Nothobranchius furzeri: one gene and its partners. The protein of the gene in region 1 interacts with the protein of each later gene in a biochemical or structural test. Links are inferred from orthologs where the notes say so. Each region holds a gene or a part of one and is shown on either strand. Other genes may lie near its edges. The genes, in order: rab27a, sytl1 and sytl4.

Evidence for each region.
Region 2: the proteins of rab27a (region 1) and sytl1 form a complex in vitro, tested with the Homo sapiens proteins (3 studies listed by BioGRID). The link is inferred for Nothobranchius furzeri from reciprocal best matches to the Homo sapiens genes RAB27A and SYTL1.
Region 3: the proteins of rab27a (region 1) and sytl4 form a complex in vitro, tested with the Homo sapiens proteins (2 studies listed by BioGRID). The link is inferred for Nothobranchius furzeri from reciprocal best matches to the Homo sapiens genes RAB27A and SYTL4.

What each region holds. Positions count from the first base shown.
Region 1 is NC_091749.1:60,094,024-60,099,739, reverse strand, and holds rab27a (ras-related protein Rab-27A), read right to left. Parts: upstream 3,468-5,716; coding exon 3,315-3,467; intron 2,576-3,314; coding exon 2,490-2,575; intron 2,405-2,489; coding exon 2,301-2,404; intron 2,121-2,300; coding exon 1,997-2,120; intron 1,605-1,996; coding exon 1,409-1,604; 3' UTR 906-1,408; downstream 1-905. UniProt on the Homo sapiens protein: Small GTPase which cycles between active GTP-bound and inactive GDP-bound states. In its active state, binds to a variety of effector proteins to regulate homeostasis of late endocytic pathway, including endosomal positioning, maturation and secretion.
Region 2 is NC_091759.1:21,251,533-21,257,263, forward strand, and holds the start of sytl1 (synaptotagmin-like protein 1), read left to right. Parts: upstream 1-2,350; 5' UTR 2,351-2,508; intron 2,509-3,621; 5' UTR 3,622-3,623; coding exon 3,624-3,748; intron 3,749-5,625; coding exon 5,626-5,731.
Region 3 is NC_091741.1:84,920,190-84,925,920, reverse strand, and holds the start of sytl4 (synaptotagmin-like protein 4), read right to left. Parts: upstream 3,514-5,731; 5' UTR 3,341-3,513; intron 3,244-3,340; 5' UTR 3,195-3,243; intron 2,271-3,194; 5' UTR 2,199-2,270; coding exon 2,080-2,198; intron 1-2,079. UniProt on the Homo sapiens protein: Modulates exocytosis of dense-core granules and secretion of hormones in the pancreas and the pituitary. Interacts with vesicles containing negatively charged phospholipids in a Ca(2+)-independent manner.

The DNA of each region.
Region 1 (5,716 bases):
CAGAATACAATTGTGTTTAAAACACTACATCTACTCTTTAACAGGAGAAAAGAGGCAAGCATCAATAAGGCAAAGTCTGCAACCACAGTAGAGCTGCTGCAGGAAAGTGTAAGCGTGTTTAACTTTTAAATCCTGTTAATCCAGTGTTTATGACTTTTGTAAAACATTAGAAAAAGATCAGTAGGACTGACAGTGACAGTAAACTAATATACAGACCCATAGCAACTGGCTTTTTTATAAAGCAACACTTCATCTTCTTAGTTTTCGAAAATAAACCCATTCAGCAACCCGGCACATTTTAAGTAAACAACTATTGAATAATTCACTAATTTGTCATCAAAGTGGTCTTCTAGTAAAGGTAACAAACATCACATCTCAGAGTAAAAGTTCCTTTATCCCTGAAGTCACATTATATCAGCTGATTAATACAAATAGTCATTTTTATGAACCTCCACAACAGTTTCACCTTAAAAATTTTGGCAAGTTTTTATGAACTCTTAAACTAAAGGAGTATTATACTGTATTTAAAGGTTGGACCAGCTGATTGATACGTGAAAAAGACAATCCTGAGAACAGCAAACTTTGTTGAAATTAAACTGGATGCATTCTAGGAAGATATCCACAAAATTAAGTTCTGAAGGATGCAAATGTAACCTATTCAAGTCCTTTTTATAGAAGAATGTTATCTCTGCTATCTGAAATGTCATCATTTGGTCCTCTTCTGTTTTAGTGTGTATTTGATCAGAAGGCAGAAGGGGGTCATTAGAGCTCCCAGACAAAAGGAACTCAGTTTAAAAAATAACGAGAGGCTGTAAATTAATGTTTCAGACTTGAAAGAAAGGATGGAGTTGGTCAAAATATGTACTTTCGGAATTTGAAACAACTAGGCTATTTTTTTTAACATATTTATTTCTGATATCTGAATTTTTTTGTAATGTTAGCAAAAGTGCACTTATAAAAACGTCCCCTAGCAAACTGAATGAACAGTGAGATCTATAGGTCTCCTAGCTCTGGTGAGATTACAGCATGAAATAAGACACTTGGTAAAGAATTAGTGGCACATAAGTGGTGACCTGAAGGTTCCTGAAACTTCACCCATTGAAAAAGTCGGGCGTATCAAACTTAAGCGCTAATTAGCCTGCTGGCTCACTGCTCCATAGAGAACAGTTCAGCATTGATGAAAGAAACCAAATATGTACGGTAGGCATCATAAAAAAATAAATACCTCACACCTAACCAAAATAAACCATCCACAAACCCTTGCCCTGACAAACCTGTAACTTGCTGCTTTGTGGGGCAAATACCACAGATGATGTAGATCAAGACGAGCTTCAAAACAAAACTCCCGTTTTCTTATACTTGGATATTTCTCTTTTTTTCTGCAATACTATGTGAAACCCAATTTACTCTAACATGCGCATCTGCCTCGGTCTGAGCCCTCTGAGAGGTCCAAGTTGGTGGGTCCGTTAGTGTGGACGGTTCCGTCTGGGATCCAGGACTTATCGACACACCGCTCCATCCTCTTCATGATGAGATCCAGCAGGAAGTCCACGGCCTCGTTCACGTTCTGCCCATTCGCAGCACTCGTCTCAAAGTATGGGATTCTGAGTGAGGTCACATGATCAGAAAACACTCTTACAAGTTAACCCGAAACCACAAACCCCCCATAAACACCTCAAAACCCCCAACACATCTACGGCCTTCTCCAACACTTTCAGAACTAAAATCACGAGTATTAACCGCAGAACCTAACCAATGAAAATATTGTTGCTTGAGGTAATTTAACACTTCTTTTTCTTTAGATTGCTGCTGATTACAGGCGTTTCTAACGGCACCAGAACCGGATGTTTCATACATGTAGACAAATATTTGCTCTTCAGGAGGACCAGTCCAGTCTTACTGAGCAGAGTTCTGCAAACAACGCAGCCACTGCCTCTTTCACAAACCTTTCAGGAAGACGTTTAAACATGGATGGATCAAAAACACACGAACATACCCATATTTCTCTGCCAGTTCACGAGCTTCATCTTCACTGACCGCTCTCTGATCCGACAGGTCACATTTGTTGCCACACAGAACCACATCTGGATTTTCACAATAAGCGTGAACCTGTAACTGACCTGAGACACATTATCAGGTGTTCAGTCCTGGCTCTCATCCATCAGCTTTTAGAAGAACAATGACAAGAATTATGAAATATGACCACAGCGGCAGCCGAAGCTCGCGCTACACCTGACTTTGACCAAATGAGGGCTAATCATGTGTCAAACCTTCCGGAGTAATAACATCAGGAGACATACTCATCCAGTTTCTGACGTTGAGGAAACTTTGCTCATTTGACAGATCAAACAGGAGGAGGAAACCCATCGCATCTCGGAAAAAAGCAGTCGTCAAACTTCGAAACCTGACATTCACCAGGAGACAAACCAACAAATTTCAGAATATATTAATAATGTTGGGAAAGATGTAATATAAAATACATTTTATACCTCTCCTGTCCTGCAGTGTCCCACAGCTGCAAGTGGATCTTCTGTCCTTTGCCTGAAGTTCCATCTGGACCTTTTGAATTGTACACCTGAGGTGAAAAATGCTAAACAGGTCAGGTATCTAACTCGATCTGACTGGTTTGGAAACCTGTCAGGATGCAAAGGTATTTGACCGAGTTTTTGCAAAACCTGTAGTCCCCCCGCCCAAGCATTTCGAGATGAGAATATTTACAATTAGGTGCTTCCTTAAATGAACTAAACATATATATATATATTTTTTTTTTTTTATCCCAAACTTTTGGGATCACAGTGTCCTGGAAAACTGAGAATCTACATGTATGATTTTAGAAATTGTATTTTAATATGTATTAATAACAGCAAGGATAAAAAGGCTTCTGAAGGTCTTCCGGGTGATTGTTGATAATTTAACATTTAACTTAGTAAATCACAGCTGCAACATTTGGACATTTGTTCTCACAGCACTTACTCTAATCCTACCAAAGAGCCCATTTTAATTTCTAACATTTAGTGAAGTTATTTCAGTACCAGGATGTCCTCGTGGAGAATGTCAGCAGCATTAAAGCAAGAAGATTGTAAATATGAACTTGAATCAGCTGTTTGCCAATGGTATGAAGTGTTTATTCTTAAGGAGGGTGCTGCCTACCATTAACCAGCTTTAGTCACACCCCGTTTCTGTTGCAACAACCATCAGCAGGCTTTTGTTAAGAGAAAATGATTAATCCTGTGGGAATGCATTTACGGCTGGTTCACAGAGTATCTGGCTAATAAAGAAATCTTCAGTTAGACTGGGTTAACATAAATCCTCACCTTTCTTTTTTCTCTGAAGTCTATTCCCACTGTAGTGATGAACTTGGAGTTAAACTTGCAGTCGGTGTACTGGTACAGAAAGCTGGTTTTCCCCACACCGGAGTCACCCAGGGCTAGGAACTTGATGAGGTAATCATAGTCCCCTTCAGACATGGTGGTTCCTTAGTTTCTGGAAAGGGGACACAAAGAAGACAAGTGAAATTAGAAGATCCATAAAGAACAACCCAGCCCAGCCTCTTGCTTGGAATCCTGACACTTTGATTTTAAAGCTAAACTTAATCACATTCATCCTGTACATGAAGGGATAACCATTTGGCTTGAAGTGGGTGTGTCTCAGAAAAGCCCTGCTTTCTGATTTGTGTAACAGACATTTAGGATTTTTATAAATCACTGTGTTGCATTGCAACAGTGTTAAACAGATGCAGCACGGGAGCTAGTGAAGTTAAGCTGCTTAAAGAAAGCAAAAGTATTTTAGATATAGAGCTGGAATAAAAAGAGCCTGCAGATGAAAGCCCTACGCTCTACCCACAAACGGTTTAAAGGTGCGGATCACTGAAAAACTATTTTTTAATTATTATTTCTGATTATAATCGGTGACTTTGAGCTTTTCATTCAGGCGGAACATGAAAATAGTCTCCTACACCCAAATCCTGCATTATTTTCTGATAGAAAATAGACCGTAAACTCTAGGATTTGAAAACTCTGACATTTAACATTCATGGACTCACTCATCTTGACTGGCAATGGGGAAGGCTGTTGTTTTAACGTCCAGGAAACAGCAGACAACGTCCCAACTAGTAAAAGCTAACCATTAGCACTAGCAATACCACCACACAGAAAAACTTCTCCATGCTTGTGTTATTTGTAGAGATAAATAAATAAATAAATAAATAACTTTCATAATGCAAGATGCATTATCGTTGTGATCCAATCCATGGCAAGGTGTTCAAATATCAGGAAATAAGACTCCAAATCCGGCCTCTATGTGGCAGCAGACTTGTCGGTGCTGACTGGTGCTGACCCAAGAAATTCTGGGCTTTTTTTGCCCCGATTATGGCTTGCAAGGTATTCACTCCTACCAGAAACTACTGCAAATGTTTTGATTAAACAAGTTTACCACACCTTTAACATTTAGGAAGTGCTGCCAAGGAACAAAAGACTTCATGGGGAAGTCTACTTTGCTGTGATGCATCTAAACCTCCAGAAGAGAAAGCCGTTCTCCTACAGCAGCTCCACACATTCAGCTAATCATCATCATCATCGTCATCATCTACGAACTGTAACATGCCCAGCTCTGACAAGTAAAAACAAAACACTAAGTGATGATGAAAAAGGAATTATGTGTGTTTCCCGCACCTCCGCTGGTCTGATGGATTGTGAAACACCACCCCTGCTGTTGCAACAGTATTTTGTAAAAAGTCTTCTTTTTATAAGTAGATTTAATGTTTATTTTATGAAACGGCTCAAGTATATCCTTGAGTATAATATAACAAAACTGTATCTACACTGGGATGTTTCATACACGCTTTAAAGTTTAAAGTGTGTATGAAACATCGCAGTGTAGATACAATTTTGTTTAGTTTTTTCTTAAGCCAAAGATCTACAAGTTTTACTGAATGCAGTTAGAACTTTACTAAAATGTTCTAAGTCTTATGACGCAACTATTTAACTGCTAATTAATTGTATTAAGTCCCACATAAACTGGTTAGAAAAAGTACATTGTTTGATCTATCGGATGTGAAATGCTCATTTGCGACGGTTCGCTAGCTGTGGTCAGTTAGATGGCAGCAGATGTATCACATGATCAGTTCACTGGCTTGATAAGATTTCAGACAATCCTTGCATTCTTTCAGCATGTGCAACACTGAGCCTTTAATCTGACCCAAAAGCAGATTAGTCTTTTGCAAAATCAAGATGCATGATAAATGTGTTGTGATGGAAATGACTGCAGGGAGAACTGATTTGGCCATAAATGGTAAAGTCAACCAGGAAACTAGGATCCATTTTATCATTTTATTGTTTGTTTCTTCCACAGTTTAGTAAAAGTTATTTGTTTACCTTACATGTTTCAGCTAGTGGCTGTAGCCATGCTCAGATCTCGGAGGATGGCTACAGCTACTCTTACTGTGTAAGAAAAGAACAAAATGGATTACGGACAAAAACAGTACGAATGCACAAAAGAGGAAACTAGGATGTCAACATTTTGACTCAGGAAGGTAAAAAGTTCTGAAGGAGGATCTGAGCAACTTTAACCTTTCATCAAGGGAAACTAGCTTTTAGCGGACTGCATGGAGTAGCTGGAACAGTTTGCAGCGGAGTGTGAAGCAGCTTGGATGAGAATCAGCTCCTTTAAAGAGCAAGTCACCCCAAATCACTTTTTTTTCCTGATAAACTATATAAAG
Region 2 (5,731 bases), on another chromosome or scaffold:
TCACCAATCGCCTTCAAACTTCTGCTATATACTCTTAAGGCATAGGGGAAAAAATTCAACCGTCGGATTTTTCAAAAGTTGAAAGGTGTGGGCGTGGCTAAGCCTCAAACTTTGACCTGTCGCCGCGCCACTCTTTTTTTCACAGCTCCCTACTGGACTCCTTTTACCCAATCGGCAGGATTCTCTGGCAAATAGCAGTAGACAACTTGAGGTCACTTGGTATCCAGTACTGGAAGGTTTCAAAAAAAGGCGGGGCTTTGGGAGCATCTCGAAAATCGCCATCACGCCATGGAAATACGTTTGCCTCTCATTTCTTCATTTATCGTGTTATTGTTACGAAACTTCTGGTGAGTGATCCTAGTCTGACCCCAAAGAGACATAGACACCTGAAATATGTGGGCGTGGCCTAATTTCTGAAATAGCGCCCCCTAGGACCATTTAAACTATTAGCCCCAAGCCATGCTTTCACTGAGGATTACGAAATTTGGTACACTAATGTGGTGTCCCAGGACCTACAAAAAAGTCTCTTGGAGCCAAGCACAAAATTGCACAGGAAGTCGGCCATTTTGGTCCAAGTACGCGATTTAGTGGTTTTCGCACACGTTGTTTGGAGAGTGATGCTCCTTCGCCCTTTTCACCAATCGCCTTCAAACTTCTGCTATATACTCTTAAGGCATAGGGGAAAAAAGTCAACCGTCGGATTTTTCAAAAGTTGAAAGGTGTAGGCGTGGCTAAGCCTCAAACTTTGACCTTTCGCCACGCCACTCTTTTTTTCACAGCTCCCTATTGGACTCCTTTTACCCAATCACCTGGAATATCTTGTAAATAGCAGCTGACAAGTTGAGGTCACTTGGTCTACAGTACTGGCAGGTTTTGAAAAAAAGGCGGGGCTTTGGGAGCATGGCGAAATTCTCCATCACGCCATGGCAATACGTTTGCCTCTCATTTCTTCAATTATCGTGACATCGCCACAAAATGTCTGGTGAGTGATCCTAGTCTGACCCCCAATAGAAATGGGCATCTGAGATTTGTGGGCGTGGCCTATATTCTGAAATAGCGCCCCCTAGGACCATTAAAACTGTCAGCCCCAAGACAAGGTTTGACTGAGGATTACGAAAATTGGTACACTCATGTAGGGTCTCCGGACCTACAAAAAAGTATCTTGGAGCCAAGCGCAATTTCGCACAGGAGGTCGGCCATTTTGGTCCAAGTTCTCGATTTAGTGGTTTTCGCACACGTTGTTTGGACATTGATGGCCCGTTGCCCTTTACATCGATCACCTTCAAACTTATGCTATGTACTTTTAAGTCAAAGGGGAAAAAATTCAACCGTCGGATTTTAAATAAGTATAAAGGTGTGGGCGTGGCTAAGCCTCAAAGTTTGACCTTTCGCCATGACATTACTTGACTTAATAACTCCCATGTGCATGATCAGATCTAATTCAAACTTTGTCTGTGTGATCACTGACCACATCTCAAGACAACGACAATGTGGACAGCTGACATCACCTAAGCCCCGCCCCCTGACAACAGGAAGTCTATTGTTTTATGGTGAAATGCCCATATTTGTCCCCTCTAATTTAGTGAAAATGACACTCAGGTCATACAGTGTCTTCATGATGTTTTAAAGACCATTCAGATCTGATAGCTTTCCAGAAAGGGAGGGGCTTTGATGCCATGGTGAATGCTGGCGTGACGCCATGACCTTACATTTGACTGTAACTTCCACAAACGGCCTCCGATTTGCCCGAAACTGAATATGGCAATGAACAATCATGCCCTTTAGCCAATGAGGCACAAACGGTTGGTGAATGTTATATAATGTCACCAAAGCTGACCTCAATGGGACTTTTCTGTAGTTGGTCACAGCGCCACCTAGATAACGTTATCCTTCGATAACTTTAAAAAACATGGTCAGAATAGCATTAAAGTTGGTCACTGTCATCACACCACCAGTGTGGTAAAGATAGAGGATTCCCTAGTGGTGAGACATAAAATATAATGGTGGGCTCAAAGGGGATGCTGAGTCAGGGTGAGTTGCGGACAAGGTGGCCGTTAGCAGTTTCTGGTGTTGGGGTGGTCGACGTTTGTTTTCTGCGGACGTGCCCTGGTGCCCCGGGCTGCCGGCCAGGCAGGAGCGGTGCAGAGCTGCGAGGGCCGAACGACGCTGCTTGCAGCTTTAATTATTTCTTGTTATTTAAAGGTGTTATAGACAGACTCTTGCTTGAATGTCCCACGTGCCAGATTGTGGTCCAAATCCCTTACTTTGAAGCAACTTCTGCATGCGAACAACTTGTGTGTGTGTGTGTGTGTGTGTGTGTGTGTGTGTGTGTGTGTGTGTGTGTGTGTGTGTGTTTGCTCTCAGGCTCTCCCCTGAGCAGAGGGTGTGTTCACTCCGTTTACTCAACACACACTCCATACACACTTCATACATGCGCGCGCGCGCGCTCTCTGGACAACTTTTCCTCGACTCCTCACAGATGGAAGCGACGGAAGACGTCAAGTAAAGGTACTCCCACCGTGTTTTTGTCCGTTTTGACAAGAGGTCAAAGAGTTAAATAAATGCTAGAGACAGGTGTTTTCTCTCACGCGCTGATTAGGACCAGACAAGAGCCGCGCGAGCCCGTTTTCCACCGATAGAAACACGTTTAAAGCGGGCTAGTCTAAAACAAATACAAATAATTAACTCGACTTAAAGCGGTTATGGATTTAAGAACGATGATAAGTGAAACAAACATTCGAGCAGGAAACGATGTTGTAGTGAACTCAAACAGGTTTTGTTTGTTTTTCGTGGAAAAACTGCGGTTAACTTGTTAAGTTTGCTAAGCAAACCCCGTTGCGCATGCGCGAGCTTAAAGTAAAAAAAGCAGTTCTTAACCACAAATAAACCTTTTTTCTTTACGCAGCAGAGTGCTTACTGGTGCGTGAGAAGGCTTCTAAGTCTACGTTAAACTTTTTAAAATTAAGTGTATAACTGAAGCAAGCAGAGTAATGTTTACTATATGACAAAAAAGTTAATTAGGCCAACAACGTTCTGTAAATAATCAATAATGACTGAAAACTTCCTGCTTTTAAACACAAACCTTTAAAATAAAGGCTATTTTAATATTTGTAGGATTTAATTTGGATTTCAGCTCACTAAATACTCAAAAATGATTGACAGCTCTCTGGATTCGTGCAGATTCGCACTAAAAACTATTTGGATCAGAAGTGGAATGAATCGGTGTATTTTGTAGAGACAGTGTTGTTTCCTCGCCCACTCCTGGACTCTTGAATTAATTATGTTCCATAATTTTTGTAATTGACGGACGTTTAAATCTTTGTGACTTTGTGGCTAATCTTTATTTTCTGTAGTGTTTAGCCCCACATTGGTTTGTATAGATTATATTTCTTTGTGCTCTGAATGAATGATATTTTGTTTAATATTTGGAATAGTTTTCCCACTTATAGGCCATTCTTCATGTTTTTGAAGCACTTTTTTTCTGTGCATTCTCATTTATCTCACAACAAGTGTGTCTCTCTATTTCTCTAACAGATCCCTTCTGCTAAAGTGCCTTGCTAAATAATATGATTAAACATTGAAGCATTTGTATTTGAGGATAAAAGCATTCATCTTCTACAGGAATGGCAGGGAAGCAAGTTGACTCGTCTCTTGACCTGAGCCACCTGACGGAGGAGGAGCAGTCCTCCATCTTGCAGGTCTTACAGCGTGACCTGGAGTTGCGTCATCTCGATGAAGGTCGTATAAGGTCAGGCGTGGTTCTCCCCGGGGAGAATGTTCAACAAGTAAACGGATGTGAAACACAAAATGTCTGAGTCAAGAAAAGGACTGGTGGTAATTTCATGGTTCCGTCAACAACAGGAAGTGGTCCTGAAGCTGCCCCAGACATCACTCTGCCTCCTCCATGTTTGACTGTTGCTACAGTGTTTCAGTGTTAGTTTTACTATTGATGGAATGGGATGCATTTCTTCTAGAAAATTCCGCTTTTGTCCCACCAGACAACAGAACATGTACCTAGAGGTCTTTGGGGTAAATGTGAGACGGGTCTTTAGGCCCGTTTCCCCCATCAGAACTTCCGGGTAATTTTACCAGACCTTGCTGACATTCCCGTTTCTCAGTTTCACTGAACCGGCCCCAAAAAGGACCATCCTTAAGGTCATTTCAGGGACCAACTGAGTATCCGACCAGGAAATTGTCCAGTTAGAGGTTGAGGGCGGGACTTGAGATTAGCTCATTCTGATTGGTTGTACCAAGTTGTACGATTGTGCTTTTTTAACCAGCGTCGATTGGCCAGAATTAAGCCCCTGCTGTCCAGAGCACGTCTAGAGTCTGTCACCCATGCTTTTATTCTTTCAAGGCTTGGCTACTGTATGCCGGCCTGAGTCAGGGCGCAGTAGCACGCCCTTCAGCTAGTACAAAACTCAGCAGCTAGGTTTGTGACAGCGACTAGGCGCAGGGACTATGTCAGCCTTGTGTTGGCATCCCTTCACTGGCTGCCAATGCAGTATGGGGCAAAATTTAAGGTCTTGGTACTGATATACAAGGCCCTACAAGGAACGGCGCTAGCATATCTTGTCAGCCTTTAGCATAAACACGCTCCTTTGCGGGCCCTGCGCTTGGCCGATGGGGAGCTGTTGATGGTTCCGTGGTCCAAGAGCGGGTCACGGGGAACCATGTGTTTTCGGTGTTGCTCCTACACTTTGAAACCAGTTTCCTTTGGTGGTGCGTCAGTCACCTTCATTGATGGCTTTTAAGACTCGCCTGAAGACCCACTTTTATGTAGAGGCTTTCCAGGATTAGCATTTTTTACTTGGTTTCGTTGCCCTGGCCTCTTATTCTTTTTGAACATTTAATCTTCTCTCTTTTACAGTTTTTATGTTGGTTTTATGATTGTTACATTTTATTTGATGGTTTTATGTTTTATTTGTGTTGTGTTCAGCACCTTGGGGGGTCTGCGTCGGCCGTGAGTTCGGGTTAGGAAGGGGCTTTATAAACAAATAAATGAAATGACAATGAAATGATTTCCTGAAATTTGGATATTTCACCTCTGATTGGCTAACAGCAGCGTGACTTTACCACTGATTGTTTGCTCTGCAACGTCGATGTTTTACCTCCACAAATAACACAAGCCTGGACGAGTTTTGCCGTGTGGTGGAGTTGCTAATGCTAACGTTTAGCTTCTACTAGCCGAGACGTTCTCTGCTGTTTCCTGGACGCTAAACCAACAACAGCCTTCTCTTTCCTGAATCAAGATGGGTGAGTCCATGAATGACAAGTGTGACGTAGATCTGTCGGGGTTTGCTAATCCTAGAGTCTATTTTCTATCAGAGGCTAATGCAGGAGATAGGTGTAGGAGACTATTTTCTTGTTCAGCTTGCATGAAAAATTCACAGTGACTGATTATAATCAGAAATAGTCATTAAAAATGGTTTTTCAGTGTTTCACATCTTCAAACTTCAGAACAAATAGAAAAAATGTTTATTTTCATATTTTGTCTTGCACACACTTGTTAGGTTTTCATTGCATCAGCTCCTGTTTCTGATGTATTCCAACATCATTCCTAACATCAATAAAGAAGCATGTGACAGTTTGCTGATAATCTCGGCCCCCCCTTCCATTCTGCAGGATCCTCGGTCAGTCAGAAACCGATCACGCTCGCCTGCGCCTCCTCTCTGGAGAATGGTTCAGCGAGGTTTGCAGCAAACGGCATCAAAAGTGGACTTCAGCCTGT
Region 3 (5,731 bases), on another chromosome or scaffold:
CTACACACAAAACTCTAGCCGGCCGGGAGCGCAGTCCGTCCGGCTCATCCACGCACACACACAGACAGTAATGGATCTCGCTGTGATTCCTTCACTGTTGCTCACGTTTCTTCAGTTTTCCTTAGATTTGCTTCAGCTCGCCTCTTTTTCGGTTGAATATTTAAAGTAACTTTTTTCGTAACTTACATGGTGCATTTGACAAGACAGAGCTGACGTGCTGCGTCTCTACCTCCTCTCCGGTTGGTTTTTTTTTTATTTATTTTTAACTCCCTCTCTCTCCCTCTCTATCTCTCTCTCTCTCTCTCACACACACACACACACACACACACACACAGACACAGACACACACACACACCTCAATCAACATTGTTTTGTTTAACTTTGTGTGGGAAAATGCCAAGAACGTTAAGAAAAAAATCAGTTTAATCAAATTAAAATAAAAAAAATATATAAAGTTGTGTCTGGTTATAGTATTTCATATTTCCTAGTTCCTACTGCATGAGTTCAGATGTATTAATCCATGCACTTAAATATTAATGTTCTGATTTTATTGAAACACTTGTTTTGTAATAGTTCCTTTTCTATTGTGATCAAAAATATTTAATCTATTCTGAGGCTGCTCTGTAAATAGTTTTCAAATAAACAATACACATATCAACTTCTGATCAATCCATATCAATTTCAGACTTAAAATAATATATTGATGTAAACCACACCCACTTCCGGTTAAGCCACGCCCACTTCCGGGTTATGCTCCGCCCATTCCGAGTACAGATACAGATAATTTAGTTAGTTGAACAGATACAGATACAGATAGTGGTGTACTTGCTCATCCCCAGTATTTGGGCACATGCAGCTTTTTTAAGGTGTGTCTTTGTGTGGAAGATGTTTCAACGGTTCAGAGAACAGATCTTTGTCATTAAACTGTGTACCGAACAACACGAATGGAACTTTACAATAAATAATGTTGAAAAAGTAAGAAAAGGATCCGATCTTTTTTTGTCATTTACAGTCATGGAGTTAATGGTGCAGTGCACCTCTGCTTTGATGTTAATCGGGTTAGTTTCTCTAGAGCTTTGCAACCATCTTCGCAAAAAAGTAAAAGTTAAATGTAGGCAAGCATCGCGTTAATCGGATATTTCCCCATTATGTTTATTGTTTTTTTGATGAAAAATCTCAAGGCTGTTGGTCTTTCTGACAGACAGGAATCACATGTAGGTGAGCGGACATTTTAAACATTAAGCACAGAGAACATCGGAGGTAACAAATTAATCAAGAAAAGATTCCCATCAGAACATCTGAGCATTATCTCATAGACACCATGATCAGCACAGCTCACCATCTGTGCACTGAGGAGCTGTGAAGAGCAGCTCGGAGCACGTCTGTAGGTCACAGGCCAACAGGAAGAACAGAATGTTGCAGGTAAAATGTTCCTAATTTAAGTGAAATTGTTTAATTGTAACATTAATATGTTGCTGGACACACTGGTCAGCTTGTTTGGACCAAATATGAATGAAAATGAAATTGTTTATTTTAATTTATTATCCGAGAAATGAAAATGACGATCATGACCGTTTTGTAAACTCTGTCGGTCAAAATGACAAAGATGTCTAGTGTGACCTCTGACTGTAATGTTTCTGTACCTGCTTCTAACTTACATTGATATCAACTAGTTTATCCCTGTAAGGGATGTGTTTGTTGTTCTTTTTATCCGTCCTTTTGACTGGTGTGCTGCGGCTTCCCCTAGCAACGCGAGTCATACACCTAAAGTGGCGCCAGGGGTGTGTGGTTGACAAGCATGTCATGTCTGACAAAGACAAATTTGGGTTTTAGAGTAAATTCCTGGTTATATTAAATACTACAACAGCTAATAAGATACAGAGCACTGCTGCTGTAGGATGGCAATATTTAATCCTCAACTGTGACAAACTTAAAACTGAACTTGGATATCTGAGGGAAAACTGAAAGAGACACTATTCCAGGCCTAGAGAGAAACTTATGCAAGATTAAATGTTAAATTTGTCTTTTAATTAACATATTTTGGCTCTTGTGCAAAGTAACAGGAAGCACTCTTCTCACCGCACACGCTGTTCTTCAACCAGCCTGAGCTCCTCGTCTCGTCGCAGCACATCCAGGACCAGCTCACGCTCGGAGTCGGACAGGAAGCCCAGGTTGATCGAATCAAGAGCCTCCGGCATGGTGCCTTCACCCAGAACCGCCAGGGCAGGTGGATTGACTCAACCTTGTTAATGCTGCATTGAGCCTGGGTCCTTAGAGAGAGAGAAATCATCATTAGGACTTGACTAAACATTTCTGCTCTGAGTAGGCAAAAACAATTAGGTTAAACCTGGATAACTCAATGTAGCCGATCAGAGAGGAAAAGCTAAAGGAACAAGACTCACTTCACACTAGATTACATCTTTATTCTGGTGCATGCTTTTGAAATACAAAAATTAACGTCATCTAGGGTAAAAAACATTAGCCTGTGCATCTTGATAAAGCCAGCACACAGATTTCCCATGACATGACAAGTCAAAGGCCATCCAAAATGATAAATGATGAGGATAAATAAAAATCCCACAGGAAGACTCTGCCAGGGTAAAAGGTTGTTTTGAATAAGGAAGGCTAAAACAACATGATCACGGGTATGTAGCATGGAGGGTTCCCACCCTAAGGACACAGCGGGTGGAGTGGAGCATTAAACCACTTGTGTGCTTTAATTAAATGGATATCCTTTTCCTCATTGTTTGAATGCCAGCTAACTCGAGTTTAAATTACAAACCGCTACAGGACAACTTCTACATCCAGGAAATGGCGTTTGAATTAAGTTATTTTGATCTGTTATGAACGTGTTATTTAAAATGCGGGATAGCATTATGCAGGGTTGTTGTAAATGATTAAAAACAAATTTAATATTTAAAATAAATTACTCCTATTTTTAAATACGATCTTTTCGGTTGAAGTTTTCATTAAAAAGAGGTATATTTACCACTGACGGTTTTAACTGTTCACATTTCCAACGGTTAAAAACGTTGACGTACGCAAATCAATTACGTTCAGCTAAGTGGCATAACCACATAAAAAATAATAGTCTGCTTACAACCATAAAGTCACGCTAAAATGGAAAGTAAAAAAAATAAAACACTTTCACTCAACTCTGCCATAATTTGACAAATTTGAAGGATTACACACACCTGCTGCTGGTGGAGACGACCACACTCCCCTAAGCAGAGCGATATGTTCCTGACACAAAAACAAAAAAAAAAGGATAAACAAGTTCAACTCTAGACAAAAAGACAGGGAACTAAACTATCACGTTGCTACAGGAAACTTTACTTACTCTTGTTGTCGGTCAGGAGCTGAACCGTAACCGAGCTCCGTGTTGGCTCGCTGCCTTTACTGACTCCCGCTGGTCGGACCGAGTTGGACTTCTCTTTTCTTTCCCCCCCTCACAAGACCGGAAGAAAAGGAAAAGTTCGTAGCAGTCAGCTCCTCTCCTCCTTATTTTCCATGACAAGTGCCTGTTTTGTTTTTGCTCTCTACAACCGCTGGATGTGGAAATTTTGGCCCACTAGTACGCTGCAGTAATAATTAGCCAAAAGTGCCAGAAACAGCTTTCCCCCTGCTTTCCTCCTCACCTGGAACAGCGAGCGAGGTGCGCTTTTATAAAGTTTCCCCTTTCAGACGAAAACTGGCTTGAAGGTGTTTTTTTAACAACAAGGAATCTTTTAGACTAAAATGAAACAACTTTCTTTTCATAAAGTATGGAGTACTGAATGCAAAAGTATTTCATTAACACATTTATAGCTTTTAGCGTTTTATAATAAAAATAGACATATATGAATAAAACTTAACTGTCTCAATTTTTATAAATCCTAAATATTTTTAAAGTAAAGAGTAATTATGAAATTTAAATGTATTTTTACGGCCAGGTGTTGATTTCTAAAAACAAAAATGGCTATTTTAAACTGAACATTTAGCAAGATGAAGCAAGATGAGTCTAAAGTTAAGTTTATATTAAGTATACAAAAAAAATGTATAAAACTACTGCCTAGAGGCTCTTTTATGCAATGTCAGGAATGCAGAACTGTCAAGTACACAGGTGGCAGGCTTATGGATGGTTCTAATGGGAAACAGGCTTCAACAAAAGCGGTTGTTTACCACTTGGTCCTAGTGCTCAACAAGTGATATTTAATATAGCGTAATGTTGTTTTTGGACGGTAAAAAGTGCAGGGGACAAAATGTGACTTTAGATAAAGTGTCCCCCGCCCAAACTATGTCCATGCCAACAGGTGTTACACCAAATTCTGCGACCCATCACAATTTGTGACCCCAGGGGTCAGTGTTGCGTTTTATTGCATCTGTACATCCTGACTTGGCATAAAAGAAGATGCTACGTTAAAACCGTAAACTACGTAAGCTTTGAGGAAGTTGTGCGGCGCGGGCCATGGATATTAAAAAGAGCGTTTGTCAATGTTTATTACAAACAAACAGGACAATAAATGCAGCGATAACCAGGGCTTTGACAAGAAATGTTTGCTAACATTAAACATTGATTTTACAACATGCGAGGTCTGCAGGTAAAATGTTCAGAACTTCCATTTATTGAAATTAATTGTTGTGATGCACATCCTCAGTTTATTAGAAACCAGTGCAGATTCAATTCAATTCAAAAATACTTTATTAATCCCAGAGGGAAATTGATTAGATTATCTGGTTGCTACGTTTTCCCCCCGTCACTCCAATGCCACTCATATGTACTGGTGGAGATAAAAAGGGAAATAAAATGACACAAACATCACGAAAACCCTTTTGTTGTAATTATCTTTAGTGAAAATTAAAGACATCTGCATTATTACTGAGATTCAGATGGTCACATTCTGTGATAGCCCGGACACGGGTCACCGGGGCCCCCGTCTGGAGCCAGGCCTGGAGTTGGGGCATGTTGGTGAGCGCCTAGAGGTCGGGCTTTTACCCGTGGTGCCCGGCCGAGCACAGCCCAAAGAGGAGACATGGGTCCCCCTTTTCATGAGCTCACCACTAGTGGGAGGGGCCAAAGGGGTTGGGTGCATTGTGTGTCAGGGTAGTAGCCAAAAGCAGGGACCTTGGCAGTCTGATCCTCCAGCGGCAGGGGCGTGTCCAGGGAGTGGCCTGGGGTAGCACATGCCACCCTTAGAATCTGATTGGCCACCCCAGGTGCCACCCTACCAAGTTCCAATTTAAACTGACTTTACATTGTCGACAAAAGGCGTGAGTTGTAAACTCCAAAAATAGTGTGTGGTAGCATGCACCTTTAACATTATCTTCTAGCCCAGGCCTACAGAACATTTATTAATATTATTTATTTTTTATATTCACATAAATAGTATTTAGAGTCCCACTCAACTCCAGTTGGTGGCAATAATGCAACAAGAAGTGACTTGCTAACCACCACAAAACTAGAAGATGAATAGAAAAAATGGTGATTGTGCAATGTGAAACTCCGAAATTCACAATAAATAAACGATTTGTGTAAATAAATAAATAAATAAGCATAACCATTGGTGCCACCCATGCATAAGCAAGTGCCCCACATGGGCCACCCCATTTTAAAAGTCCTGGACACGGCTCTGTCCAGCGGATGTAAAAAAGAACCTTAATAACTACAAATGACATTAATTATTCCTTATTTGGATCAATTTAATATTTCTATTTTCACACTTACAATTCTTGAGATACTTCATGTGTGTAT